4 linked regions of the Rhinolophus ferrumequinum genome follow. The protein of the gene in region 3 purifies or fractionates together with the protein of the main gene of each other region. This does not show direct contact. Links are inferred from orthologs where the notes say so. Each region holds a gene or a part of one and is shown on either strand. Other genes may lie near its edges.

Region 1 (7,229 bases), on a different chromosome or scaffold from region 3:
TGCGCTTGCCAAACACGACAGCTACTAGCCACGTGTTGCAACTCAGCACTAAAACTGTGACTAAGGAACTTAATTTTTATTTCACCTTAATGAATTCTTAAACTTAACTAGCCACATGTAGCTACTGGCTACATGTCCTGTCCTATAGGACATCACAGAGTTGGAAGATTCACTCTGAAAAGGGCTGCTCTGAACCGTCATTTCTCCAATTGGTTTGCTCTGAGACCAGTCAAGCAGGGTGGAGTTGACCTCTCCCCACAGGTTTCCACACTGGCAAAGCCTTTCAAATCTCCAGGGTTTCTCCTCCAAGCTACTCCCTTTCCTTAGTATCGTTCTCTGATCTCTCCCCCACACAACTCACCCATTAGCTCCACTGTAAACTTGGCCAACAGGCTCTCTCAGAAAGGCTCTCTTTTTCTGTTGCTGCCTGGTAAGCACTGGTAGAATCTCATACATGTTTATGATTATCACACGAGTTATCCTTTGCTGGAGGTTCTGCCCCAGGCATGCACCTTGGTAAATACCTATGTACTTCACTGCCGCCTCATCTTACTGGGATGCCTGAAAATTAACACTCGGGTTCGGAAGCTGGCTTCTGCTAGGTTCCAGGAAAGCCCTACCTCTTAGGCAGGATATCATGGTCTCTATTCAAAGACGTTCAAAGTGCTTTTTAGCAGAATATGTTTTGAGCCCACTTATTTAAAGTCACAGCTGAAAGGGAAGATGGGCCAGAATAAGAGCCAGAACTTGCTGCCCTGCCCCAATACCCAACACCGCTACAAAATATACTTTGTTAGAAATGGCCTAGTAGTTCTAACTTATGCCTTCCAGACTTGAGTGCCTACTTTAATTCCTCTGAAATGATTAGTTGTTCTTTTTAAGAGTAATTTTCTAAAACGAAAAGAGCTGAAGTTTCGAATAATGGGTTACATTTTGGAATCAAGTTATTAACACAAATAGATGTAAATGGACTCCTATAAGGCAGGCTTCGACTTGAAAATGCAGGCATTTATCTGGTGGATCAGCTTATAACCACCCAGGTCTCATTCTTTACTAGTCTGGACTTGAGAATGCACTTAAGATCAGCTGTGAAAATGCAGAAGTCAATTTAACTTCCTCCTATGTGCTGCAGTGCTCAAAAAAGTACACTGTAATCACCCAAAATAAGACTCTGAGCTGATTCGCTTGAACATTTAAAATACAAAGGAACTGGTAAGTGAGGCTGGATACAAGAAGCAAATTAGCTTAAAATATAAGCTACTGCAGCCCCTGGCAGGAAACAATAGCTACTGCTACTGCTCACTTCAAGGAAAGTTGTGCTTTGTTTTACAGATAAAATCTGTGGCCTTATAAAAGAGATAGGAGGAACACAATATATTCAATTTAAACAATGGGTTAGAAGTATTTGTTTTAATGCCTCCAAGCCACAAGTTCATATGACCACTTAGAAGTTCCCCTCCTCCAATCCTCTCCCGCCTAGTTCCCAGTTCACCAGAAGCAGTTTGCACTTATTTCCTCAACTGTGCAACCAAGATGTGAAGCCCCATCATCACAGATGGGGAAACGAGGCACAGGGACTGGCCACAAAGCACCAAAAATAAGAAGCTAGAAGCAATTCCTTGGCTCATGTTTTAAAGCAAAGCAGCTTTGAGGGAGGAGGTTGTCCTTTACCGATTCTTGTGTTTTGATAGAGAAGGCTGCCTTGAAATCTGTCCTAAGCCCACCTTTAAAAAGGCCAATGATAAAAAAGGTTATTCGAGACCTTTATAGGCTCTGAAGGCTTTCACGTGTGTACCTGGGCCAGGATTACCGAGGAAGAAATCTGACCAGGGGTCTGGTATAAGAATGGAAACGATAACCAGATAAAGGCTAGTGGGTGGGGAAAAGTGAATGAGTATCTCAGAACAGAGATAAGGAAGAGGTGTGGATGAGGAGACTATTAGCTTTGCTTGAGAAATGTGTAACGAAAAGACCAGTGTCTCTCAGTAGGATTCAGGGAAAGGAAACTACAGACATCGCGTTTTTCTGGCTGCAAGAGTGGGTCTACTTTCAGTCTTTCTTCCTGCTCCTTTAAATGACGAGCTGGGGCTGGGGAGCGAGAAGGCTGATGACGGTCTGAGCCTGCCTCTTCTTCCCTCCTCCAGCCCTGGGAATTCCTGGAAAACTCCTTCCAACCCAATCCAAACGGGCTCTCTTCGGGTTCGGAACAATGACGGGGAATACGAAGGCAAGCGGTCCCCTGCTCGCTCCAAAGGGCAATGGGATCCTCCTGCGTGAGTCCCAGCCCAAGCTGCACCCACGTCCCACAGGTCTCCTGCCCTTTAGCACGCGCACTCCAGTCCACTCACTGCTTCCGCATCCCTCCTCTGAGCCTCTCCCCACGCATCTCTGCCCCTCACCCCACCGCGCCCAATCGCCTCCCACGTCTACTCCGCCGGGGCAGTCCCCACACCCGGCCAGGTTCCCCATCTCTCTCACGTCTGGAGGGTGCTCAACGACACTGGGATTAGCAGGGGTCAACTTTGCCTCCCCCGCCGCCCTCCGGCCCCGGGCGCGCGCTCACCCGGCGGCCGCGTTCTCGAACTTGAGTGCGAGCGTCTCCTCGATGATGCGGTTGTTCACCTCCAGCAGGATCATGGCGGCGGCTGCCCCGGGCAGGGGAAGGAGAAACAAGGGCGGGTGAGGGTGGGTAAGGGAGAGAAGGACGGAGAGAGAGGTCCTGCTGCCCTCTGAGGAGGGGGGCTGGGTGGGGTAGGAGGTTAGGGGAGAAGGGGAGAGGGAGCGGGATACGGGGATGGGGGAGACGCGCGCGCTGCCCGCGCACGCTCTGACTGTGGAGACACCCACCCACCCGACCCACCTGGCCCCAGAAGCCTGAACCCGCCTGCCGAGCCGCCGCCGCCGCCGCTGCCGCCTCACCGACAAGCCCGGTCCCCGCCCAGCCCCCGGCTCCAGCCGGCCACTTCCGCTCTCACACCCACTTCCGCTCGCCGCCCGGACGCGCGGCCCCGCGACTCCATTTCCGCTCCAATCTCTTGTGCGCGCGCACGCAGGCGCGCGCGCCGGGGCGAAACGGAGGCTGCGCCTGCGCACGCGTAATACCGCCAGCCCGCCTCCACTTTCCCACAGACCCGCTCGGATCCAGTGTCTGCAAGTATGTCTCCCAGCCGGTTGTAGTCTCCCAAGGCGTGCCTTAGTGTCCAGCCCCTCCCTCCCGCTCGCTCGTCGCAGAGGTCAAGCTCCACCCTTCCGGTCTTGTCATTTCAGAGACCCCCCTCCCCCCCAGCCAAGTACCTTGCTCTTCTCGTTTCCCAGCCGGCTTCTTTGCTCTCGTCTTGTTCGTTGGAGGTGTGCCCCTTCCTCATGCCACACTAATGACTCTCCAGCGTCATCATCACGCATTTCTCCAACGAATATTTAGTGGGCTGCTGTTCTGTGCTGGGGATACAGTGGTGAATGAAATAGACTAGGTCCTGCCCTAGTGGGGCTTATAGTCTGGTAAAGGAAGCAGACAATAAATAAACTCTCAATTATATAACGACACATTGTTTAGATGACAGTGAAGGAAAGGACTGAGAAGTCATCAAGGTGAAAGGGCAACTTGGATGGGCCGCCCTGGGTTCCTGTCATTCCTCCATTTCTGTGCCTGGGGGGCTGCCTCCGGGTGCTGGGACATGATGGTCTTTGTCTTTGAAACCCTCACCTTCCAGTACCTCTCTCTGCCTCATATGCCTTCTTACTCATCAGCAAGAATCTGAACTCATTTTTGTGCTATATCTGCACCTTCTGCCTGTGTGTGCCTTGTGTTGTATTTTTCCTCCTCCAGGGTGAATCTAACGAACTTAGTTAAGTCCCTTCCCCATGCAATGATATATTTTCTGCCAAGTGGTCTTGGAGGTGGGGAGGGGAGGAATATCAACAACAAAATGAATGAAAAACTGGCCCCTGTCATCAAGGCCCAGACGGCCCTTTAAAACGGATTTCCTTGTTTACCAGCCATGGATAAATTTCAACAAATTGCAGATGCCCCCAAATTATACGCTAACATTTATTGAACTAAAATAATGCATATATGTATTTTAAAAATATATACCTATACTAAAGGCTTGTAATGAAAAAAAATCAGTTCACTGACTGATCCTCAACCCTTCTACATATTCATTTGATTAGATCCATATATCTAAATAAATGTTTATATGACTAATTCTTGATTTGTTAATTTTAAGGATTATCTGCTGACTTCCTGCGGTGATAGATAAGAATGTGACTCTATCACTTCTGTTCACCCCTTGACATAGTTATGTAACAATTGTTGGTTAAACCAATAATCAGCATTTAAATTATTATGTATGTAAATATTATTTACCAATAAGCCAAGAAGTGTACTACAACTATGTCTTCTAGCTTATACAGCCCTTCATTTTTTCTTGGAGTTGATAATTGCCTTTTTTCTCTCACTTGTCAATTTTCTATATATCCACAGTTGGCTGTCCCTCAACCACCACAAGTGCTCTAAGACTGTCAAAGAATCTAGCAATATTTTCCATATACTCAAATACTTAAGTTCCACTTTTTCTGTAGAATCTTCATCCCAGGATCTTCCTTCCTCTTGTTTCAATCTGGTTTTGCCCATTTCCTGCATTTTAACATGGTCACAATGCACATTACGTTGTGAGGAGCACTGTATTGATGGACTTCCCTGTAAGATGCAACAATGAGGTGCCGGATTTCATTGGGGGCCCATGAATGTCAATATTGGGAGGTCTCTTCTCCGGAGAAGAATCCTCCAGTTGTGTTTGGGGTTTGTAAGCTTGGCTGTGAGTATTCCTAGCCGAGCTTATAAACATTCCTAGAGTGTATGGAAGCAGGGAAGACGCTTTGGGTCACAGCTGACTTCCACTTGATGCCATTATCAGCCCTGTCCCTCCCCTACTACCTTCCACTGGGCTAGAATCTACAGAAAATGGATTTCTGTAGAAATGGTGGTGGAGATGAAGGACAGGGTGGAAGTGGGATAGGTTGGGTGGGAAAGGGTATAATCACTTGACTGCTTGAGGATCTAGAACAGATTTTCAACCAATTTTTTTTTAAATTTTGCATTTGGTTTATTTAAACTTATAACAAATGGAATAAATAAATATTTTTGTATTCACCCCCCAGCTTTCTTGAATCTTAACATTTTATATTAAACTTGCTTCAGAGCTTTAAAAAAATAGTTGAAACGTCCCGTGAACCCTACCCAATTTCATTCCTTCTCTCCTTCATCTCCCTCCCTGTACCCACAAATGTAGGTATCACTATGCATTTGGTGTTTATCCTTCCCAAGTATATTTTTACACTTTTACTACATATGTGTGTATCCATATGTAAACAATGTATAGCATATTTTTCATGATTTTAAGCTTTTTGGTAATAGTATCATACTGTAATCTCTTTTGAAACTTGTTTCTTTTAGTCAACAGTACATTTTTGAGATTCACCTATGGAATTACTTGTAGCTATTTTAACTGTGACATAGCATTCCATCATATTATTATGCATTATGATTTTCAGTGTTCATTTATTCTCCTGTTGAAGAACATTAAAGTTCTTTCTAGTATTTTTGCTATTATAAGCAATGCTCCTTTGAACTTTCTTATACATATTTCCTGTGTACAGGTGTGAAGGGTCTATAAGGCATGTTTTTAGGAGTGTAACTGCTGAGATGTGGGCTACAGACATCTTCAGCTTCGGCTAAATGTTGCCAAATTGGTCTCCAAATTAGTTGTACCAATTTATGTGTCCACTAGCAACATATGAGTGTTCTCATTGCTCACTGTCCTTGCTAGCACTTGGTATTGTTAGCCTTTGAAATGAATTGATATTAAAAAACATTTGATTGTTTATAAAATAAGAATTAGGCAGCTAGAGAGGCATGCATGAAGGCTCAGAGGCCAGATAACATGACATCTTGCAGAAAGTGAAAGCAGATTAGTAAATTGTGGGTAGAGCTGCAGGGGAGAAGTGCTGAGAGATGGCTGGCTGGAGACATTACGAGCTAATGTTTATTGAGGTTTAGTATTTATTCGGTGTTAGTGCTGTTTTAATAACTTTACATGTATCATCTCATTGAATCCCTGTGACAGCTCTAAGAAGTAGGCACTAGTATTAGTTCATTTTGTAGATGATGAAAGTGAGGTGCTGAGAGGCTGAAGAATATGTATGTGACTGGTTATTGTGCTGGGATTCAGACTCCAAATGTCATGCTCTTGACTACTGTGCAACACTTGTATCCGTTACTGAGCAGGATAGTTTAGTATTTTAGTTTCAAGTGTGATAAAATCAGAGTACAAAAACCTGGACCTGACATGCCGTTTAAAAATAATGAAAACAGCTTCCTGACTGAACCTTCATCCCGCTGAACCTTGATGGCCAAAGTAGAGAAAGTAACTGTTCTCAAACAGCGAGAAATTTTCCGTTTTCAGTCTTAAAGATAGAGGCTGGGAGTCATCCTGGGATTGAGGGGATGTCTGGCTAGCCTCCATTTGGTCCCCTGGATCTACTCTTCACCTCTCTCCATACCCACATCAATTGGGCCCCTTGCACTTGGGCTTTGGTCAGCTAATAAGAAGTCCCAACCGCAAGAGGAAGGGAAGGAGGGAGGGAGGGCGGGCGGGAAGGAGGCATGGATAGATAGATAGACAGACAGACAGACAGACAGACGGATAGATAGATGAAAGAGAGAGAAAGAGAGAGACAGAAAGAGAAACACACACACACACAGATCAGAGTAATTAATCCCCTGCTTCCTCTTCCTTGTGAGGTTGCTACCTCAGGCTGGCTGTCCCTCAACCGAATGTCACAGCTTCTGTCAAAGTGGCCACCTCAGCAAAACTCTTTTCTTCATTCCAAGTCCTGGTAACCATCCCTTCCCTTCAACTCTTAGGGCCTAGGTGTGGTATCAGCTTGGCTGCTGTTAGTACTGGATTACTGCATTCTCTCTTGTGGTTCCCTTACATCCACACTTTTGTAAATACAGTCATGTGCCACTTAGCAATAGGGATACATTCTGAGAAATGCATCATTAGGTAATTTCATTTTTTTGTGCAAACATCATAGAGTGCATTTACACAAACCTAGATAGTATAGCCTGCTATCCATCTAGACTATGGTATAGCCTGTTGCCCCTAGGCTACAAGCCTGTATAGCATTTTACTGTGTAAAATAACATGAGATTAAATCAAGCACAG
Region 2 (7,213 bases), on a different chromosome or scaffold from region 3:
CCATGTCTAATATAATACAAATTACACTGTTGGCAGAGTATCTAAGAATGTGTCAGAAGAGTCTCAAGGTCTGAAAAGAATGGGGCTTTCTGAACAGTAAAAAATGATTTAAAAAGGAGTACCAAGAAAGAAAGCAGAATTATGTAATTCAGAAAAGCAAGAGAAGAAATGAGTAATGTTACATAGGACGCTTCAGATTTAAGATCGAGGTGTTGCTAAATATGGAGATCCTGAAAAATCGATCAAGAAAGTAGATTTAGATGGGGAAGAGGTTAAAATATGTTTTGTGTTTTTCCAGCTTAATGACAGATAAGGGGTAGGGACATGGCATTCTTTACAAGTAGCAGCACTAGTTTGTAAGAACTGACAGTGACGACAGAAAACTGTGTAGAGAATTAAGCACATTTTCTTTCTCCTCAACAAAATGTCCTGGAGAAATCAGCAGCAATAACAGTTTCCTATTAGATACAACATATACCTATATCTTGAAAGGCCTAAAAAGCAATATCCACCAAGCAAACAGAAAATACAGGAGCAATGTGAAACAGAGGCCTGAGCTAAGAATTTCCCTGATTTGATGTCAGAGGGTTGTTCGATGTTTCATACCAAAATCTGAAAATAACAGAAAGGGGTTTCGACTTACTCTCTCTAGGGGCGGGTCCTTTGAACTGACTTCTGATAGGCAACAGTGCCATGTTTCCAATCAGCTTGGTGTCGGGGTCCATGAGAGAAGAGTGGTAAGCCTGTATTGGCACGCCAGGTAATACAGAAACAGAAAGAGAGCAAACGTCAGCAGGGCAGAGAAGTGTTTTTCTCCGAAAGGGAAAAAAAAAAGAGTAACCCACCCCAGATTAACTAGAGGAAGAGGGAGAAGAGATGGTGGCAGCTGTGTGCTGGAGCTGGCTCTTACTGGCTCATGAAAACCAACTGTTAAATTTCTAGGAATTTTTGAGCCAAGCTGGTTGTTGAACACAGCTGTTATTAAAAATAAACTTATATAAATTTGCAATAAATTACATTAAAAACAAAGATAATAAATACTCAAAATTCATTACTTCCTATTAAAAAATACTGTTGTCTGTGAGCTTGAAGTTATTCATGCCTTTTGTATCTTTAGGGCGGAAATACTATATAATGTGGTACTACTGTGCATTTCTTTCAATTCCACGTTCAGTGACATCACACTGGTAACTGATGGGAGTATTTACATCACAGAAATAGGCAAACACCATATAGATCAGAGGTACCCACCCCCCAGCTGTTGTTAAGCCAGAGCCCAAGCACTGGCTTTTCAGCGCTGCCATTTTCTGGCTTTCTGTCTTTGATCGAGATACCATTTTTCTTCTCTTAGCTGGTTTCCAAATTTGCAAAATGAAGAGATATACTGCTTTCAATGGGTAGGTGTGAATTAAAGGATGAGAGGGGGGAAAAATCATATTTGTGAGAGCAACTTGTATATGAGTCCTCGTTCTGCCTTTTATAAGATGTCTAACTTTTTAAAGAAGACATGGGCCCCATTCATATATTCATTCAGTCAGTCACCAAATGATTACTAAGCACCTTCTAAGTGTAAGGCACGGTGATATAATGGTATACAAGACCAGTACGGTCTCCATTTTTAAAGAACTTTTGGCTAACAGAGAAGACAGATATTAAATAAGTAACAAAGGGGAAGTCCAGGGTGCTCTATGTGCAAATGGAATGAGCAAAGGGCTTTAGCGTCCTGGTTTAAAATCGGACTTTATCAAAGTCTTTGCACTAGTGTGCAACCTTAGGGAAATTACTTAACTTCTCTGAGCCTCGGTTTCCTCCCTCCTCTGCAAAATGTGAAACCAATAATATATCTACCTCATAGGCTCACTGTAAGGATTAAATGGGATAATTTATATAACGTGTGTAGCTCAGGGCCTGCCTGGCACATATCGAGTCAAATGGTAGCTATATGCTTCATAAAGTATTTATGACGATGGCCTGCTTCTTTTTATCACACGTATGCTTCATCTAAAGCAGCCTGCACCCTGCCTTTCACCAGCTACTGTCTTGTTACCCATCTATTTCCTTCATAGCATTTGTCATTATTAGAAACGATCTCCTTTATTTTATTTACATGTGTCTGCTTCCCCATTAAAATGTAAACTGCTTAAAAGCAGGGATTTGTTGGCTTTATTCACTGTTGTAACAGTGCTCAGCATGCAGTCCGTGCTCAGTAATGTCTGAATAATCACATGTTGTTGAACCTCTGTTTACCTAATCTGCAAAATGGAGGCTGTAAGGGCGATAAACTACCTCGCAGACTGGCTGCCAGAAATGAAGAGAAACTACACCACCAATTTTTCTCCTACTCTGATGCACAAGAAAATAGAAACATTTGGAAACCGGGCGCATACCTCGAGTTGGCTCTGGTGGCCGCCACTGCCGGCGCAACAGGGAAGTGGGTCTGACAAATGACAAGCAGCGGAAGGGACCCACCCCCTGGGACGGAGGAAGTGGGTCTTCAGAAAAAAGGAGAAGCCAGACCCTGGACTTGAAAAATGAAAACTAAAAAGCGAAGCCCTCGCGGCTCTGTTGACGTTTTGGGGACACTGCCGGAGTTGGGGGCTTGCAGAAGGGGCAAAGACAGGGTTGGGATTGGAGAGAAGGGGGCCGGAAGGGCTGAAGCAACCCCCTCTGCACGCCCACTCTGCCGCGCCTCCGCCCCTCCTGGCCGACACTATCAGGCCGCCCCAATCCTACAAGAACTGGCCCCCTCCCCTCTCCCGTTCTGTCCCCCGCTCCCTCTGCCCAGCTTGGCCCACTTCTCTCAGCTCACGCACGATGTCCGCCGCTCTCCCCAGTTCTCGCCGTCTCCCCACACCCCTGACTCGGGCTCCTTACCGGCATCTTGGCGGCCCCCGAGTTTCAACCCAGATGAAGAGCAGGAACGGGTTAGAGCGCTGGGCTTCCGGCCTGGCAGCCCGGGCGGGGTAGGCGGAAGTGAGCCGGAAGGGGCGGTGAGGAAGGACGCGCGCTTCCGGCCTTGCTGTCTGGCCGCTGGCTGCTGCGGCTGCGCAGAGCCGAAAGGGCCGGGGGGGGGGGGGGGGGGGCCGAACACCGAGTGTTGCGCAGGCGTGAGACGTGGAGCGGGCAGTGTGTTTGGGGGCTACATATCTGTGCTCGCCTTTGTTTCTTCAAAGAGCCCCTTTTCAGTGAAGCATTCCCTGTCATACTATTTTAAATTCAACCCCACTGGACTCCCTGCCTCATCCTTCTTTCCCTTTTAAAAGAATCTTATGATTCTTTTATTTAGTTTACTTTCGGTGTTTATTTCCCGCGATCTCCCCATCCATGTAAACAAAAAGGCAGTGATTTCGTCCGTTTTGTTCACTGCTGTGTACCCCGTGTCTAAAACAGTGATGGTATACGGTAAGCATACTTGTTCAGTGAATGAATGAACCCAACTTTTTTGTTGTTGTCATTTCAAAAATTTCATTCTCTTCAACTGCTTTTGCGGTTTATAGCGATATTTCACGTATTAGTTCCCTGAAGCCTTTTTCATTCTGAGCTTCGTTTGCAGTGGATAACTGGTTTTTCAGGGGTATGACCAAACCACTGGTTTTAAAAATGGGGAGAGCACAGTGAGAGGGAATTGTGCATTATTCTGTACTGTAATTCTGTGTGATGGTTGAGAAACTGACTCTGAGTTAGATTCCCAACTCCAACATTTATTGGCTGTGTAATTTTGGGCAAGTTAATTTACCTGTGTGTCAGTTTCCTCATCTGAAAAATGGAGATAACAGTACTTACCTCAGTTTCGTGAAGGTGAAATGAATTGCATGCAAAGTGCTTAGAACTTACATGCCTGGAATATACTAAAGACTCAGGAATTTTTAAACTATTACTGGAAAGCAACTCATGATAAAAGCCAAGTTCACTGCTGCTTGGGGCCATTTCTTCTCCCAGTCCCTCATGGGGACTTTGCCCCATGTTCCCATAATGGATTTCTCATTTAGGCCTCTGGCCAAACAGCACCTTTTAGGAAGAGCCTTGACAATGAGCCCAAAGCAGCCTGTTAGTCACTCTCCATTTCATTAGTTTTCTTCCTATTCCTTATCAGAGGCTTCCTTGTTTATGGTTAGTCTCAAGGGCCCAACATGTCAACTCCATGAGAGTAAGGTTTTGTCTGCCTTGCATGCTTCCCAGTGCCTGGCACCCACTGGTAAATTTGTCGGAAGAACCATGTCAAGCTCCCCTACTTGGGGAAATTTACTCATTCAAAAATTTGCCCTGGCTGAGTATTTCAATTTCTGACTGGAGAACAAGACTGTAATGAAAGGTCAGTGCTATTTCTTTTATTTATATACATATTTATCTTAAAACATAGTTACTTTTCATTTTTTAATTATACAAATAATACATTTTCAATGTAGCAAAACTGGAAGATACGGATAAACAATGGCCTTATCTATATTCTTCCAACTTTTTTCCTCTAGACACACATATGTATATTTTGTTAAAACAATTCCAGTCCCTCCAAAAAAAGGTTCAAAAATAACAAAAATCAAACTGTTTACAGGTCTTAATTGTACCACAGGTGCTGATTTATATTATATGCAAATCTATGTGCAGTCATTTCAATTTCAACTTTTAAAATCTAAATTGTGCTGTAAAAATATTAGTACAAGACTCCACTTTAAACAGCAGTAGTTTCAAGAATAACTAAGAACCTGATTCAAGCATGCTGCTGATAAACAGCCAAGTATTATTTTTTTTCATTAAAATAAGTAGCTTTCTTGTATTGCATCCTTTGAGAAGAATGTTCTGATGTTTCAGCCACAAGCTCTTCACATACATAGTCACTTTTTAGTAAACTCTTTATTCATTCTGGTGTTCTTGAAAATATTCATCAAACCTAGAAGACTCATCTTCATGTTCCTGACACAAAGGAAACACAAAATAGAACATACATTCATTTCCCCTCAGACCTAGTATGTGTTTATATATTTTTCAGGTAATGCTCTGTAAGGAGCAAACACCCAGCACCACTCCAGATGTTACTCACAGGTAATAGTTAATAGTAACAAAGGCATGACTGATAGACTATTTCCAGATATGTGGTAGTAAGTGCTTCTCTCTCATTAGGAGCATTTTTCACAGAGTTTACTCACGCCGATTCTCAACTAAGTTGTGCCCTATTGACAATAACCATTAATAGTCTTTCCACTGACACATGTGACAGCAGTCCAAGTTCAATTGGATTTTACTTCCTCTTTGCATATACCCCAAGCTCTGAGTATAAAGAAACATAACTCAGTAACATTGCCTCAAAAAAAAGTAGAGTAAAAGTGATACTGCTCGTTGAGCTCAGGTGTCAGTTTCAGAGATCACCCAGAAAAGCCCAGGTTATTGCTGCCACTGAGACAAAAATTGAGTTCCTGGGGTTATATAGGATGCCAGGGAGTGCCGACAAACATTTCTACCAAAAGCCAATAAACACCCTAAACCAGAAATTACCTTTGGTTCTTTAAATTCCAAGTCTTCTCCATACTGAATGGCAAAATCAATATGCTGTAATACAATATTCATGCTTTCTTCATCTGACTGATCGTATGGCAAAAATCGAACCATGCTGTAGTCGTCAATCTACAAATTGGGGATTTCAGAAAGGGTCATTCAGAAATTGTGCAAAATACTTAATTTTCAACTTATATTTGCGTTTTATAACCATTTATACTCCTGATTAAACCATTTGTGTGTGAGGGGGTAGAGATAGACAGTGACAGAATGACAGCAAATCAATGTTTTTCTGACCTCGGACCTACTTAGAACACTCAACTTATTACTTAACTAGACACTATTTAATAAGCATTTATCTGAATTCAACAACCACTGGAAATTTCAAAAGGGCAGTTCTGAGCTCCCAATATGGCTTGGAATAATAGACATGTCAGTTAAGTTTTTGGCTACTGCCAATAACTGCTTCTAAATTAAACTGCTGACTGGCTAGCCCACAGCCTCTCACCACCACCTCCCCTTTGCAAGGAAATTGGGTTGGATCATGCTTTCCATAATGGTGGCCACTGACTAGAAACCAGTAAACACCTACTAACCAGGGCATTGAAAAACGACAACAACAACTTAAGAAGCTTACCAGTCCACATATAGCTTTAGTCAATTTTTTGAATTTTTTGCTTCTTAAGTCACTTGTAGAATCATCTAATAAAGAATACATGTCTGGATCTAGAAACCTTTAAAAGTGAAAAAGAGATGATGAATTAAAGGAAGAATAAATCAGGAAATTGGATTTATAGACTGACAGAACGTCACATGTAAACAAAGTTTAGAAGATTCATCTCTGCAATTGAGATCTGATGACAATGGAAGACATGAACTCACTTCTCAATTTCTTTTTTCGCTTTCTTACTCAGCAGATCCATTTTTGTCATGATGTTAACTTGTGGAATTTCTAGAGAGATCATAGCGCTCAGCGCTGCCAAGATGCCAGAAATAAACTGAAGGAGGAAACAGGAAAGGGAAGATGAATCAACTGGTGCCCACAAAGCTCCCGGGTCTCTGTATAAAAGAGAGGCTTCTGCTCCTCCCTGGAAGAAAAGTCAAAGACACGCTAATCCTAAACATAAGACGGTCCACTCATCAGATGGTTGACCCTTGGTTTTCAAAGGTGAGGATAAGGAAGGAAGATGTAGATTTAATCTACAGTGATCACAAATCTCATTTCAGACTGTATCTTTAACCTTTCCATTGAAAATTCCTTAAGAGCTACTAAATGAGAAATACAGTTTTAGATAGTTCACAAACGAGACAAAAGTTCCTCAGAAAATTAAAAATACTTTTATCTGCCTCATTTTTCTAATTCCCCCAAATCTATATAATATCATAATTTATCACATGAATTAAAAATACATTATTATAATAATTTAATAATAAGGGATACTGAATCATTCTGGAGTATAGTTTGTGAAATGTTCAGAATCACACAATGATTAAAGGAGACTATCATCTGCTTGTACCCAGAACTGAAAAATCAACAACAGATTTATCATCAAACCTTGAACGACTCCACCATAAACTGAGAGTCAACCAGAAAAACTCCACAGACTCGGAACTCCCACTGTTCTAGCTGCTTGACCAGCTGTTTCATCACGGGCAGGTGCGTGTACAACTCAATCTGACCTATATGAAGAACATTACGAGACTATTACTATCAGGAAATACG
Region 3 (7,724 bases):
TCACTGTAGGTGTGGATGGGTAGAGGGCCTACAGCAGCTAGGGAGATTTGGGGAGCAGGGAGGGCACACCATTTACCAAGCTGGCCTCAGGCCCTTCCAGAGATCCGGCTGTGCAGGCTAGGGAGCCGTGTCCAACCATAGTCTCCTCTAGATCAGGGTTTCTCAACCGCGACACTACTGACGTTTTAGACCAGATGACGGATGTGGGGTCTGTCCTATGCATCGTACAATATTTGGCAGCATCCCTGGCCTCTACCCACTAGATCTCAGTAGCACCTCCCAAGATGTGACAATCAAAACATCTCCCAATATTGCCACATTTCCTCAGGGGGAGGAGAGAGTGCAAAAGCACTCAAAACCACTGCTCTGAACAGATCTCTGCCCCAGAGGACCGAAGGTGCTTCAGCGAGGAAGAAAAGGAACTACTACTACTTTAAAATCCCTACAAGGTCTCAGATTGTGTGCCAAGTGCTTTCACATGTCATCTCATTACAGCTAACGACTCTGCGACAAGAATCATTATTCTCATTTTAAAGGCAATGAATTTGAGGCTCAGAGAAGGGAACTGACCTGCCCAAGGTCACAAAACTAGCTGTCCAGCTGGCCTTTCAAACCCAAGTATGCCTGACTCCAAAGCCAAGCTCTTTTTACAGTCCCCTGCTGCACTCCACCCACAGACCCAAGCTGCACGTCCAGGACACCTGCTGTGTGCCTAGCACTGGGCCGAAGCCTTCTGGAATGTTGTCCAGCAGTGGTCCCATGGAACCTAAGGCCAGCATTTCTCCTGCTTTTAACAGAGGATGCTAAGCTTCAGAGAGGATATGTGACCTGTTCAAGGTCACACAGCTATCGTATGATGGAGGTGGGTGTATGTGTGGGTACACAGCCCATGTTCTTTTTACTTCATGTGTTATCTCACCATGACTCGCTTCATATGCAGTACTAGGGCAGGTCTCCTCCCTACATTCTCCCACTCAATCAACCAACCCCTAGCCCTTCTCCCCTCACCTCTGTCCTAAAACTCCTAGAAGTCTGTTCTACAATTTAAATTCAATCAACTAATATAAGTCCAATATCTGGCACATGGTAAGGACTCTAAATATTAGTTCCTTCCTCCCCCCTCCCTAGGTCCCACGTTTGCTAGGATTTCAGTTCTCATCTACGAACCTCCCTTTCCCCAATCCCAGGGGGTACCCTCTCCATGGCAACAAGGTTTCTGATACTGCCATTAGTGAAGACACTGCTATCTCCTGGCGGTGCTAAGCCAAGCCTCCAAGCAGTCACAAGGAACCTACCACTAGTCACCGGCATATGAGAGACGACCTTCAACAAATGCCTGCAGCACCAGGACCAACACAACAGATAACCAGACCTTGTTCTCCCATCTGTGGAGGGTTCTGGGCCATAGGCCTGACCCTGGAGCCCTTTTGGCACCACATGCCCAAGAGTGAGGTCCTACTCCAGATGCACAATCAGCCTTCCCTCATTGGGGCCATTTTCATGCCTCCATTTCGCCAATGGGGTAAGCAAGGTGACCATGATGGGGCAGGAAACACACCTTGGAAAACACACTCCTGTCCAAACAAAGTCTGAAGGTTTTTGTTTTAAAGGCACATTGGAGGAACACTGAGGACTCCTCCCAAAGGCAGTCTATGGGCCTGACTTCCCAAGCTGAGTCAACTGATTAAACACTCAGAACCTGATTTATATACAGCATGAGCTTCCAACCCTACCCTGGGCAAGTGTGGAGGAGGGGCAGGCACTTCCTGTAACACCATTTAAATAAAGAAAAATCCTTCCTGTGAGAATAAGTCAGTTTCCTGTGTTCAAACTGCTAAGGGACCAAGCAGGCTGTGACAACCACCTCTATTTTTAATCTTGTTTTCTAAATGCTTGTTTGCAGTGGCCACGAAAATAGTTATTTCCAGTTGTGGGGATCTACTTTTACATTTCACTTCTTGCTCTCTGGTTTTTCTTAGCTCTAAACTACTAGTTTTTCTTTTTACCACTGCTTCCTGCACAAGAAGGCTATTGAGGGCAGGGAGGCAAAATACACTTGTTGAAAGTCGCTAAGCCCATCAAGGTCCAAAGCCCAAGGTGTTCGTAGGAAACAATACGCGAGAAAGAGTGGCATTAAGCTGAAGGGTCAGACTGATTCTGGGGTGGAAGGTGCGCAATCCCAGCCCTCAGGTCTGAACTAAGACTTTAGCCTTCGCTCCCTCTTGTGTCCTTTCTTCCCCGCAGCCATCCACCCACCTATTTTAGTGTGGTGCTGCAATCGGGCCAAGAAGTGTGCCCAGGAGCCGCCCTGGCCGCTCAATTACTCAGCGGTGGCTCACCTCGGTCCCTCCCACCGGTCAAGCCCTAGTATAACCCTATTTCCTGCAAGGGAGGGATGGAGAGATGGGGCTGTCCAAAGGACAGCCTGAAGGGATGAGGAGGCAAAGGGAAGGAACGAGAGGCCTCACAGAGAAGAGAGCGGCCTGTTAGGGCCGGAGACACGTCCGGCATACTACTGGGGCCGCCGAGAGAGCCGGTCAACCAGAGTCTAGGGACCGCGTGGGGCTGCGCTGCTGAGGGAGGCTCCGGGAGCCGGGGCCAGGGACAAGAGGAGTGGGGAGACCGGATCAGAGGGAAGTGGGGAGTATTCAGACTGAGGCAGCCTGGCCCGACGGGAGCCGGATTGGAAGGGAGTTGGGAGACCCACCAGAGGGGTCGCGGGTAAGACGAGTGGGGAGCCGGCCTGAGGGGCCAGGGCCGGGTGAGGGAAGTGAGAAGGCCGGGCCAAAGGGGAGCCCAGAGCGCCCCGCTTGGGAAGGATATTGCCGCAGGAGCCCGTCCACCTCGCTAGGGTCCGGGCCTGGCTCGCCCGCCGCCGCCGCCGCCTCTTCCTGCTCGTCCACGAATTTGTTCTCGTCAAACTCGTCAATGTCCACCCGACGGAATCGCGAGGACAACGTGTTCCGGGCCATGGCGGGGGCTCAGCGCCCGCTCAGCCGGCTCTGCTCCGGACCCGACCTCCGCTCCACTCCGCTCCGAACCGGCTCGCTCTCGGGGGCGGGAAGCAGCCGCCCGGCTCCTCCTCCACCTCCTCCGCGCGCAGCCGCTGCCCGCCCACTTCCGGCCCACGCCGGAACCGGAAGTATAGGTGGGATGCAGGGGCGGAGACTGGCAGGGTAGCAGGTGGGAACGCGCGATTATCCGCGTGGTAGTCGCCCCGACCCCCCCACGCCAGTGTCCCATCTTCGTGGCGCCTCAGTCTTCTCGTCTGAAGAGCTGGCGCACTCTCCGCATGCAGGCCGGGCCTCGTGGACGCAATTACTGCGCTCGTTCTTCGGCCTCCCTCCTGCATTCGAGGAGCCCCTGTCCCTGGAGGGACCGGCGTGTGCACAGCCGCGAACTCTGGGGTCATCACTGCCCCAGACTGAGAGGGCACGGGGCCCGCAGGAGAAGGAGCTGGGCTCTGGCATGTCAATTCCGGGCAGGCTTCTTGGGGAAGAAATCTTCGAGCTGGGTTCTGAGTGATTAGTAGTAGTTCTTATGCCCCGGGGAGTGACGGAGGTAGAGGATCCTAAGTCTCAGATTTTAGGAGCCGTGAACACCACCACACTGAGCTCAGAGGAGGCGGCCTCTGCCTTGTGCACAGTGACCCTATTGTTGATGGACTAGGAGACTTTAAGGACGTTCAAAGTGTATTGAGGGTGCTGACAAGATAATGAAGACCTTTGGACTTCAGGGTGCGGTGGCACTGCGTGTGGGGGTGCAGAAATGAAGGTGATCCTGTGGCCGCCATCCTGGCAAGAAGGGCGAGGTCCTGGGAGCTAAGAAGTCGTGTCTGGCTGGGGAGCATATCCTGGTAGGAAGCCCAGAGTCTGAGATGGGGATGGGAGGGGGTAGGGCAGAGTCAAAGACGCCTCTGGTGCTAGGATTAGATGCTTGGACTGTTACTTGAAGGGTTCCATTAATGGGCCTTAGCCTTAGACTAAACTGGGTCCTTGCTTTCATGTAATAGTACTCTTTTTAATAAAGGCCAGTAGTTAATGAAATGTGACTTGTTTTTATTGATTTGAATATTTCTCATTGAACTGTGTCTGCAGATCGAAAACTACACCAGACTATAGTACATATGGTATCTTGGATGCTGAAGATACTCCTACAGTGTGGAAAAAGGTGCTGAATAAAAGTCCCAGGGGTCCTGGAAACAGGCAAAGCCCATCTGCCTTTCAGTTCCATATGTTGGAAGAAATCTTTGTGACCCAGGCAGGCCACCAGACAGAAATTCGTGTCCCCAGAACATCCTGGTCAGAGGGAACTTTACACCAGACATGACCATTTTACAAGTAAGGAAATAGCCTCCAAATAAACTGGTGAATGAAATAATGTACGTGCTTATGACTATGGACCTCCATTCCAGTCAGGAAGGCAGAATTTTAAAAACCTCTATTATGTCAGGATGACTGTGCTGAGGGGGAAAAAACCAAACATGCAGGGCCTGGGAGTGAGTACCTTAAAGTGGTCAAGAGAAGTGCCCCTGAGGAGGTGACACTGATCAGGGACCTGAAGGAAGTGAAGGTGGGAGCCGGGCAAAGGCTCAGGCTCAGCAGGCTTGGTGTATGCCAGAAACAGCAAGGCCATACTGGATCAGAAGAGAGAGAGAGAACATGGAAGTGGAGGGGATTCTATAGGGCTTTGTAGGCTGAGGACAGGATGTGATCTTCACTCACATGGGACAGCCCTGGAAATTTTGGGTAGAGCAGTGATGTGATCTTACTTAACTTTGAAAAGGGTTCCTCCAGCAACTGTATTGAGAACACATGGGAGCAAGAGCCAAAGTAGAGAGGCCATTTAAGAGGACACCAATGGTCTAGGTGACAGGCAATGGTAGTAGCTCAGGCCAGGCAGGTGCCAATAAGAGTGGTGGGAAGAGATCAGGTATGTTTTGAAGGCAGAGGCTACAGAATTAGGTGCTGGCTCAGATGTGGCATGTAAGAGGAACGGGAGTCACAGATGCCTTCAAATCCAGAAAAGATGTATACAACTGTATACCATGTTTCCCCAAAAATAGGACCGGGCCTTATATTAATTTTTGCTCCATTAGGGCGTATTTTCAGGGGATTTCTTACTTTTTCATGTACAACAATCTACATTTATTCAAATACAGTCATGTCATCTTTTGGAATATTATCATAACGAACTAAATGTGTCTGGCTGAGATCTTAACTGGGGCTTATTTTCGGGGTAGGTCTTATTTTCGGGGAAACACGGTATCTCTAATAGAACTATAAGCATTTGGGAAATGTGACAGCAAAGACCCTGTGCACTATTCAATTTCCATTTAAAACTAATCCATGACCACATTGCCCTCTGTCTGCCCTCTCCTTCCCATATCCCTCCACTTCCTAAAAGTCTCTCATTGTGGTCTGGGGTAAGGCTCATTCATTCGTTCATCCAACAAGCATCCACATGCAGGTCCTGGAGACTAGGAAAACCAGGTGTCCACCATGGTTCTTGCCCCCAGAGAAGTTCCAGGCTGGCTGTGGAGATAATACATAAACATTTGAACTCTGGGGCTGAAGAGAGGATTGCACATAAAGCTTGGGACACAAGACAGGTTGTGTCCCAATTTATTCCAAGGCTAAAGATCATTAACTCCAGGAGGGGATGGGAGAAGGCTCCCTGGAAGTGACACCTGATAGCAACTAGGGGACAATCTGGCATTAACTAGAGCTCAAAGAGGTGTTGGTATGTTTTTAATGGCAATGGAGTGACACTGACGCACTGATTGCTGGTTGGGACAACAATAAAACTGCTGTGTCAGCCTGAGCACCCTCCTTGCTTTGTGAATTCCCCTTTAACTTTCAGGGCCCGACTCAAGTGTTCATTTCACTGGGAACATTAATACCGGTATTTTGAGCGATTGTTACGCATCAGGTCTTGTGATAAGAATTTTCTAGGTGATAGAATCCAAATCCTCATAAATATCTCATTTCACAGATGAGAAAACTGAGACTCAAAGAGGGGAAGGTATTTACCAAGTCTTAGCTAACACCAGGCAACAGAGCAAGAATCTGAAAACGGGTCAGTTTCACTAAATAAGGCTTATGAATGCTCGCTCCCCGGCCACATGGCTGCCTCCACTAAAACATTTATGGAGTTGGATTATAGCTGTCTGACCCCGCCCACATCGGACTTTAAATTCCTGAGGCTGGGGCCGTGTTAATTCATTTTTGAAAACCCTCAAACCTAATCTCCTCCACTCCCTGAACACAGGTGCCACGCTCAGAGCAGCACGAACTGGGCGACCTGCAAAGATTTACCCAATAAATAAATGAGTCAATGAATAAATAAACGACTGAGTGGACGAATTTGAATCCTCACTATGCCATCTCTGCTAAACTGCCTCTCATCCCGGGCAGGCCGTGGTTTCCTCAACTGCTCCGCTCAAGCCGTGGGACTCAAATAACCTCCGGGGTCTTTGGAAGAACCAGGGACTACAGAGGGATTGGGCTGGCGGTACCAAGGTGTTCCTCGCGGCGTTGGCGGGGGCCGGAAGGGGCGGAGCCGGGGCTCCCTCTCTGCGACGCCATTGGCCGCGCCCGCCCTCACCCGGTAGTAGTTGCAGAGGTCAGCCCCCCCCTTCCTCTTTCTCTGCGAGCGAGCGGCGGCTCTGGTGGTTTGTGCAGCGATGGTGAGGGCTGGGGAATCGGGTGCCATCCGTGCACTGAAGGGTTCGGGAGCTGGGGTGGAGGGCGCAGGGTGAACGCTGAGGTCCCATCTGCCAGTTGGGCCTGTGGAGCGCCGTGCGGAGTGGCCCAGCGCCACTCAAACCGGTCTTTTCCTCCTACCGGCTTCGACTAGGAAAGGTGCGCGCGCGCGCTGCCGCGGCCTCGGTCTTACAGTCTGCGGAATGGGGATAGCGTCCCGGCCTCGTAGCAAGCTTGGGGTGGGGATGCTCAGGGCGAGGCGCGCGCCCCTCTGGGGCTGACCGTGACGCAGGTCGGGGAGAGGGTGGCCAGTGGGGGAGGCCTCGATGAGCGCCGGAGGAGTAGGCGGCGCCGCCGGGCGTTTAATCTAGACCCTTTCTTGGTACACAGGCCAAGATTAAGGCTCGAGACCTTCGCGGAAAGAAGAAGGAGGAGCTGCTGAAACAGCTGGACGACCTGAAGGTGGAACTGTCGCAGCTACGCGTCGCCAAAGTGACTGGTGGCGCAGCTTCCAAGCTCTCCAAGATGTAAGTGACGGGCCGCGGCCCCTCTGGGCGGGGGATGGAATAAGTGTATATCAGGGTATTTGAGGTTGTCTTAGGGAGGTGTCCGTTTAAGTGCTCGTTCAATGGATCTGTGGTTTGGAATGTTATGCCCTTCTAACCAGCTTTTCCGGGATCACCTGCTCACGCCTAGCCGTGCGGGAGACCCTCTGCCTTTGACCGTGTGGTCCTTTTGCCCTGAATGCCCTTGTCTGTCTTCTCTGGCTGGAGGAAAAACTGGGTGTCCCTGAAGACTCATTTTAATCCTGCCATCAAAAGCCTAACTGGAACTTTTTCTTTACCTCCCCTCAGCATTTGATTATTTTTTCCCTCGTTGGGTAAATGGAGTCAGTTGACCTGGGCACAAATTCTATTTCTGCCACATCCTACCCTATGGCATGTTGGCTCAACACCCAGTTTTTTTTTCTCTTCTATAAAATGGGCCCCCACTTCCTACGGTGGTGGGAGGGGATTGGAG
Region 4 (7,202 bases), on a different chromosome or scaffold from region 3:
ATAGTCAGTTATACAAAGCTTTTCATCAAAAAACATAGTCCTAGTTGAGCACTGATTTTTTTTTTCACTGGACTTGGCTCTGAAAAAATGACTTTTGGCCAATTCCAAAAGTTAAATCTACCCACAAAGAGCCAAGATTTGCCACCAATGAAGATATTTAAAGGAATGTGCTACAGGCTCTGAAGGCAAGTCTGCAGGAGCCCTTCCAAAAATATTTTGCACAATGGTAGCATTAAAAGAGTAAGCACATAGGCCCCAGGATAACTTTTGTGAAGAAGAGGACCAGCTTTTAGACATTTAAGTCTATATGTTTAAGTAACAAGTCAAAGAGTCATTACTTTATAATTATGCCACATTCCTCTTTGTCCATAAGATCACTCTGTAGTTTATAACATGCTTTTGTAAAATTCAACCTTTAAAGAACCCTATACGTTAGGTTTTTCTGCCCATTTTACAGATGAAGAAACAGATTAAAGAACTCATATTTGAGTCTCTTGATTCCAAGTTCTGTGCTCTCTTCATACACTAAGTTAGTTGTCTAAGGTCACACAACTTGGGAAGGGAGAAGCCAGGATTCACAGCTACCTCCTCTGACCACTAGGCTGCATGGCCCATTTATCCATCTGCCCTTAATCAATGTTCTCTGTGGATTTGATTGCTCTGCCAATTTGCAAATAGTCTTCCCTGCAGCAAGTACCTAAGTTGATTTTTTAAAAAAAATATTGATAGTTTTAAAATGGAGATTGAGAGACATGTGAATTTCTTAGACATTTTAAGATCCAGAGACATTGGCTAAGCTGGCTTTAAAGCATTGGACAACCCCAGGAAATCTCATGGTAACTGGTAACCAATACATCAATCAAAATTAAATAATATTTGTGGCATTACAACTAAAGAGCCCTAGAAAGAGGTCAGAACCAGGTTTTGGTCTGGGCTCTCTTCCCTAGCTTCCCTAAGATACTGGGGAAAAAAATCACAAACTTTGGGCTTCTGTATCATTTAGAGTTCTTAAATTTCTGCAAGTAATGGAAACTGATTATTACTAACTTAAGCAAAAGGGGATTTATTGGAAAACTATTGCAAGGCTCACAAATGCTTGAAATGTTGGGGACCAAGCTTGGAAACTCATAACCAAGCACTTGGTTGACCTGATCTAAAAGGAAATCAGAATGCAATTAGGGAGTAATGAATGCAGGGCAGTCAGACAAACCCTGACTATCCACCACTGCTTAGGGTAAGCAGGAAGGGGACGTATGCAAAACAGGGTGGTCAGAAACGCTTTCTTCTTTTGTACATCTGATGGCTCTACACAGTTGAGGAAGCCTGAGCCACCACAGCACTAGACTGACAAATTTGGCATGTAGCAAGCGGGAAGTAGAAGGAGTCTTAGGCAAGCAAAGTGTTTCGGTAGACAAATTATGAGGAACAAACACAAATGACACTTCTAACAAGCGTTGGAAGCTGTCAAACGCTTCTAACAGTCACAGCCTTTACAGATAACGGACATTCTTGACTATGTAAAGGAGACAAGGGGGGTAGGTTTTCTCATGCCTACAAAATGAGATACAGTATGTAGCACCAACATGAGCTTCATGTTTTAATGCGGTGCACAAGAAAATGTTAAAGAGCCTCTCAAATCACAAGTTGAAAACTTGCAGCCCGCAGGTCAAATCTAGCCTGCAAAGAATTTGTGACCAACAGAGAAAAATACAGACTTACAGCTTTTCTTGAAAAAAGGGAGGCTCTGGCAACACTGGATCTGCACTCTGTATGGCAACAGTTTTCTACGGTCTTCCATCAAGATGTGGGCTCTCCACATTGCCATTCCCTCATTGCCCTCTTTACTCATACGTCACTTGCCTGGACCCTGGGAGCAATCCAGTTTCTGACCCTTAACACTGCTTCCATGGCAACCCACCCAAGGCAGCGGCGTGTAGGCGGCCATCTTGATAATCTGCCAGTGTGGGCTTCCCAGAGAGACCTGTTTAAGTTCCTAACTTCTGTCCTTGGGACCCTTTTGGTAGGATCCCCTTGTTCCTGACTTACACCTGTAATGCTGGAAACAACCATTTACTCCACCCCAACCAAGCCACATCTCCCTCTTCTGTCAGTCTATCTTCAGGCATCTCCTCTTCCAAATGACCAAAAATCCCTGATGGTGGAAAAGGCAGCAAAGAATCCCTACTTAGGATCTTCTAAAATGTAGGTAAAAAACAACTATATATCTGAAAAAAGAACCACTTGTGTTTGACTTCTTGGAAGGCAATCTCTGAGGAAAGCTTACCCTCAGAATTATTTCTTTATTTATGTATTTGCTGTGAGTAGCTGTGGATATGATGGATACTAACTGATGATAACTCCCCTGAGTCTCTTCTGCACATAGCTGATCCCATCTGGATCCTACTCCTCACATACTTCTATCCCTAAAAGCACCCACTACAGGACAGAAGATGATTCACTCCACTCATTACTATATGGGATCCATTCCCTACATCATTTCTTTGCTTAAATCTCTTTGATGGCTTCCAAGTTGCTTTTAAGCTAAACTTTAAGATGCTTAGAGAAGTCTGCTAATCCTTGCATTGTTTGCTTCTTCCTTATTTCTCAGACTTCACCTTCCTTTGCATCTTCACTGACTCACTTCACTTTGACCACTTGGGTCTTTCAATTTGTGGACGAAGCCAAACTCTTTCCTCTTTCCCACCTCAGGGCCTTGAGGTTTGCTGTTCCTTCTTTCTGGAGAGCTCCCCTTTTTTCTTACCCTTTCACCTAACTCCTACTACCTCCGTCCTAGGCTTTTAAATGCCACTTTGTCAGAGAAGCCTTCCCTGTCTTCCACTTCCCTCCCATTCTGCCACCTGCCATCCCCATTTCTCATAGGCTTGTAACTTTCTGGTTCCCTGCTCTCTGCTTTCTATTATTTTTCAACACAATTTGTATGTTTCCCCACTACACTGTACTCTATGAGAGTAGAGACCTTAATATTTTGTGCATACTGAATATTCAGGGTCAGCAACTGTTGTCATCATAATAGAATAGGTGAGCTATACTTTTCTATCAAAGAAATGAAAAACCCACATTCCACCCCCCAGCCCAGTCTAACACCACACTATGTGTGATCTTCTGGAATTAGACCTCCTTTCTTAGTAAAAAATATTTTTATTTCATCCTTAGATAAGCAAATCCACAAGGTTTATCAGAAGACAATAAACGTAGTGGAGAGGAAAGCTACTAATCTTCTGGTTCCCAGACCATCATCACCTGGGATCTTGGGAGAAATGCAAATTGCCAAGCCCCACTGCAGACCACATAATCAGAGAACTCTGGGGGTGTGGCCCAGCAATCTGTTTTAACAAGCCTTCCAGGTAATTCTGATAAACACTTAGAGTTTGAAAACCATTGTTCTAGGCTTTCCAGTTTTTAATCTTTTTCTTTTGATTTTTTTTTTTTTTGGACCTGAATCCTTGGTATAATCCTGCTAGTAGAATAGTATAAACTACTCCAGAGGGAAATTTTTGTCATCATCCAGAAGCCTTGAATAAAGGCCTATTTGTGTAGAGTATATTACGTAGGATATATTCTCGGGAGGTTTGATGTTTGCCCTCCTTATGGGAACAGGCCTGCTCTGGGTGGGTGGGTGGGGGGCACTACAATTTAAACATGTTATAATAATTGTAATGTGCAATGTTGTAACAGTGCACAAGTGTAAACGAATAAAACCTCGGCATGAAGGCAGAAGAGCCACAGTGCAAACCTTTGTTCATCCGTCCCCCGACTGCTCACCATCGGTCTGATACTGCTCTTTTCCACCCAGAAAAGCAGCCACTCAAGGTGTAAGAATGGTTGTGTGCTGCTGACAACGTTTTCAATTAGGCCGTTTTCCCCGGAGCACGGAAGATATTCGTGGCTGCGGGATGCGGTTCCATCCTCCCTCAACCTAGCATAGAAGTAATTGAAACTAAAAGCCCCTTTCAGCTTCCGAAGAATTGGAGACTGGGGCTGACTTCTCCGCCCCTACACTCTAGGAAAACCCGAAGTGGATTTCATTAACGTAGGGATGGGAGCCGCCGCCGGTGACCACACGTCATTGCGCATGCGCTCTCACCCCTCCCGCTCGGAGCCGGAAGGGGGAGCGCTCGCTGCCTGGGCCTGGGCTGGCCAGGGCGTCGGCACCGGCGGCCATCTTGACTTCCCGGGGAAAGGCGGCGTGAGGGGGAAGAAGTTGTATGGTGGGGGCAGGAGTGAGGAGGAGGGGAGAAAGAGGGGGAGGAGGCCGCGGCGGGGCAGGGCGGGGACTGCCTGCCCGCCTGGGTTGCGGAAGTGGTAGCGGCTGACCGAGCCTGCTGCTTTCTCGCTACTGCTTCGGCTTCCCGGCTACCCCCCGGACAGAGAGCGGCCCGGCTGTGGATGGTGAGATAGCTCCAATCTCCTGCCGCCAATCCCTGGCCACAACCGGTACGGAGCAGACGGCGGCAGCGGCAGCAGCAGGAGAGGAGGAAGATGGCGGGACGGCTGCCGGCCTGTGTGGTGGACTGTGGCACCGGGTAAGGGGACTGACGAGCGGGGGTGGGGAAACTGAGGCTGAGGTAGGAAAATGGCGGGGGAGGGAGGAGATCGGCAGATGAATGGTGCGGCAAGGTGCCGTCGCCGGTGGTGTCAGTCCTCGCCCCGCTGTGTTGCGAGGGGTGGGGCCCGGAGAGGCAGGGCCTCCCTTGTCCCCTGGTTTCACCTCTGGGACCCGGGCGCGGGGCCGAGAAACCCCCGGGAGTGGATTTCTCCGCGCTCCTCCTCCCGGCCCTTCCCCCACCGCGGTGGGCAGCGCCGCCCAAGGAGATGCGGGGACGGTCACCTCCCCGGGGCGCGCGGACGCGGTGGGGGTGGTCGCCGAGCCGTGGCACCCGGCTCTCCTTTCCTTCCGCACCCTGCCTGCCTGGTGGGTTTGGGCATCGAGCGCGGGGACTTGCCTGGCAGAGGAGCGAGAAAAGAGAAGCGCTCCGTGTAGGTTTTGCAAGATTGCTGTGACAACACTGCCTAGGGTGTGGGTGGGGGAGTGGGATGAATCGGACTCTGAAAATGGGAACCGAAATCGGGGCTTTCATTGGACCACCCACCTCCTCCTCCTCCTCGAACGCCCGGTGTCTGTTCCGTCTCCCGCTGCATTTTAACCGGTGAACCTAGTCACATTTTAATTTGAGAGAGAAAGAGGTAATGTGTTACTTCTCTTGCTTCAAAAAAGTCCCCCAGTGAGCAAGCGCGCTGCAACTTCCTTAGTTTTGTCAAAGCTGCTTCCTGCTTTCAGTCTTTTATACCCTTATAAGGTAGTTTTTCGTTTCCAACCTGAACACATCTTATTAGAACTTTGAAAATTAAGCCGATTTTAAATAGACTGAGTTACTGGTGCTAGGTATCAATTTATGTGAACCTGAAAAATTTATTTGTGTTCTACGGGAGGGAGGAAGGGAAGCACCCGGGAAAAGAAGTTCATTCTGTGACGGTATCATAAAGAGGGAAGGAAGGTATAGAGTTATAAAGGGTTGTGCTGGCTTTTCAAAGAATTCTTACAGATCTGTACTGTAGTTTACTAAAATACAGCGTGGCGTTAACGTGGTCGTTCTTTCTGTATTAATGGGCATTGTAGAGAGTTATACTATACTTTGTAATTACATAGAAAATACTGTATTTTCTAGAATGCTTTATTTTACGATATTGGACATGTTTTCTTTTTGTGCGTGTGTGCTATGTTGATTTATTATTACATCTCTTAATTCCCAAAATACTCCAATTTTGGGTGAGGGGGTTGAGAGGTGAATTGCCAGCCTTCTCTCCCCCCTCCCTGTTTATTATTCAGCAAGCTGCTTTTTCTTAAAGATGGTATGCTCCTCCTCCTCTTTGCTCCCTGTAAAATTTCATGCTAGTGTGGCAGTTTCTGAAATCCCAACCATGCATAGGGAAATAACCTATTTATTAATATTTTCCCTTGGGAAACATTAGCCTAGTTTAGCCTTGGGAACGTCTATGTATTTTTTTGATGGACAGCTTATTAATTTGTTTTCTTAATCCAGTCTCACTTCCCTAAACCAAGATTTCTCTTTTTATTTTAATTGGTGAATAGTTTTATGTTTAGGTTCATTTTTAAAATTAGATTTGGCCTGACTGAGGAAGAATTTTCAAGTGTATTTTGTTCAAGTGAAAAATACTGCTACATAATTCATATTTATGCTTTACAAGTGACTGGATTGTCAATAAAATTAGATAATTGTCACCCTAATAGCATGGTAATATCTGAAGTAGGATGTTACTTTTTCTTCATTCCCCCCCCCCCCCCGTTGGAAATACAGTTTTGGTTATTTTTGAATTAGTATACTAGGTATTTCATTGAAGTTAACTGTCCTTAATTGACCTTCTGATAGGACAACCTTGAATTTAAAACACCTGCTGGTGTAGGTGTAGGGAGAGGGGTTCAGTACTTAGGATATTTTTGTTTTAATATTTCAGTTACTACTACGTTAATACATTTTACATTGTTGCATTAGTTTTATCTTAAAAGGAGGACACTCATGATTTGAATGGAACTAATTAGGATTCCCCATTTCCTATCACTTTTACCATCTGTCACAGTCTGAAATTCTAAGAGATCCATTTATTTTGGTTTGCAAGGCTTTTGGTCTTTCTGTTGCATTTCTTGGAATGTTACTCCTTTAGTTTTATTAAAGCACATAGATAGCTCCTTGAGATTGGGTCTGGGGTAAGCATCTCTAACTAAGGCCTTAATAGGGAGTTTTATGTTCTAGAATACTGTGGTCCCCAGATGCAAATCGTGCACCTATAATTTGTGTGTTCCTTTGTGCTTTAGAGAATGCATTCATGCATATCTTAAGTATCTAATTGCAGTTTCCCACTTAATGTCAGTGAAAAATTATAACCTTAATCAGGTTGCTCATTCCATTTCATTATATAAGTTAGGCAAAGGTGACAAAAAAAAGTGGCCATTTATGGAACTTGGTGGTCTCAGGTGAGAAAAGCTGTAAGAATTAGGAAACTTGAAGCTTAATCCCAGGACTTAAAGATCCCCCAGCAAAAATCCTTTATCTCGATATAAGATGATGAATCACCTAAGCCAAGATCATAAAATAGCTCCTTTTGAAAAGAATTTAGAAAGGAGCAGTTCTTTCATATGATACCCTATCTGCATGCTTTTTTGG

The links.
Region 1: the proteins of ARPC5L (region 3) and ARPC2 fractionate together in Homo sapiens (co-fractionation; 7 studies listed by BioGRID and IntAct, with this or other methods). This does not show direct contact. The link is inferred for Rhinolophus ferrumequinum from reciprocal best matches to the Homo sapiens genes ARPC5L and ARPC2.
Region 2: the proteins of ARPC5L (region 3) and ARPC3 purify together in Homo sapiens (affinity purification with mass spectrometry; 7 studies listed by BioGRID and IntAct, counting the BioPlex papers as one, with this or other methods). This does not show direct contact. The link is inferred for Rhinolophus ferrumequinum from reciprocal best matches to the Homo sapiens genes ARPC5L and ARPC3.
Region 4: the proteins of ARPC5L (region 3) and ACTR3 purify together in Homo sapiens (affinity purification with mass spectrometry; 6 studies listed by BioGRID and IntAct, counting the BioPlex papers as one, with this or other methods). This does not show direct contact. The link is inferred for Rhinolophus ferrumequinum from reciprocal best matches to the Homo sapiens genes ARPC5L and ACTR3.

The regions. Positions count from the first base shown.
Region 1 is NC_046291.1:17,016,983-17,024,211, forward strand, and holds the start of ARPC2 (actin-related protein 2/3 complex subunit 2), read right to left. Parts: upstream 3,004-7,229; 5' UTR 2,861-3,003; intron 2,646-2,860; 5' UTR 2,638-2,645; coding exon 2,564-2,637; intron 1-2,563. UniProt on the Homo sapiens protein: Actin-binding component of the Arp2/3 complex, a multiprotein complex that mediates actin polymerization upon stimulation by nucleation-promoting factor (NPF).
Region 2 is NC_046308.1:6,137,285-6,144,497, forward strand, and holds the start of ARPC3 (actin-related protein 2/3 complex subunit 3), read right to left. Parts: upstream 3,014-7,213; 5' UTR 2,881-3,013; coding exon 2,875-2,880; intron 744-2,874; coding exon 644-743; intron 1-643. Other genes in the region: GPN3 (GPN-loop GTPase 3), read right to left, coding at 4,852-4,911, 5,491-5,619, 6,128-6,224, 6,373-6,488, 7,046-7,170. UniProt on the Homo sapiens protein: Component of the Arp2/3 complex, a multiprotein complex that mediates actin polymerization upon stimulation by nucleation-promoting factor (NPF).
Region 3 is NC_046295.1:74,632,420-74,640,143, reverse strand, and holds the start of ARPC5L (actin-related protein 2/3 complex subunit 5-like protein), read right to left. Parts: upstream 3,009-7,724; 5' UTR 2,973-3,008; coding exon 2,824-2,972; intron 1-2,823. Other genes in the region: RPL35 (60S ribosomal protein L35), read left to right, coding at 6,686-6,688, 7,095-7,231. UniProt on the Homo sapiens protein: May function as component of the Arp2/3 complex which is involved in regulation of actin polymerization and together with an activating nucleation-promoting factor (NPF) mediates the formation of branched actin networks.
Region 4 is NC_046291.1:85,710,420-85,717,621, forward strand, and holds the start of ACTR3 (actin-related protein 3), read left to right. Parts: upstream 1-4,181; 5' UTR 4,182-4,500; coding exon 4,501-4,544; intron 4,545-7,202. UniProt on the Homo sapiens protein: ATP-binding component of the Arp2/3 complex, a multiprotein complex that mediates actin polymerization upon stimulation by nucleation-promoting factor (NPF).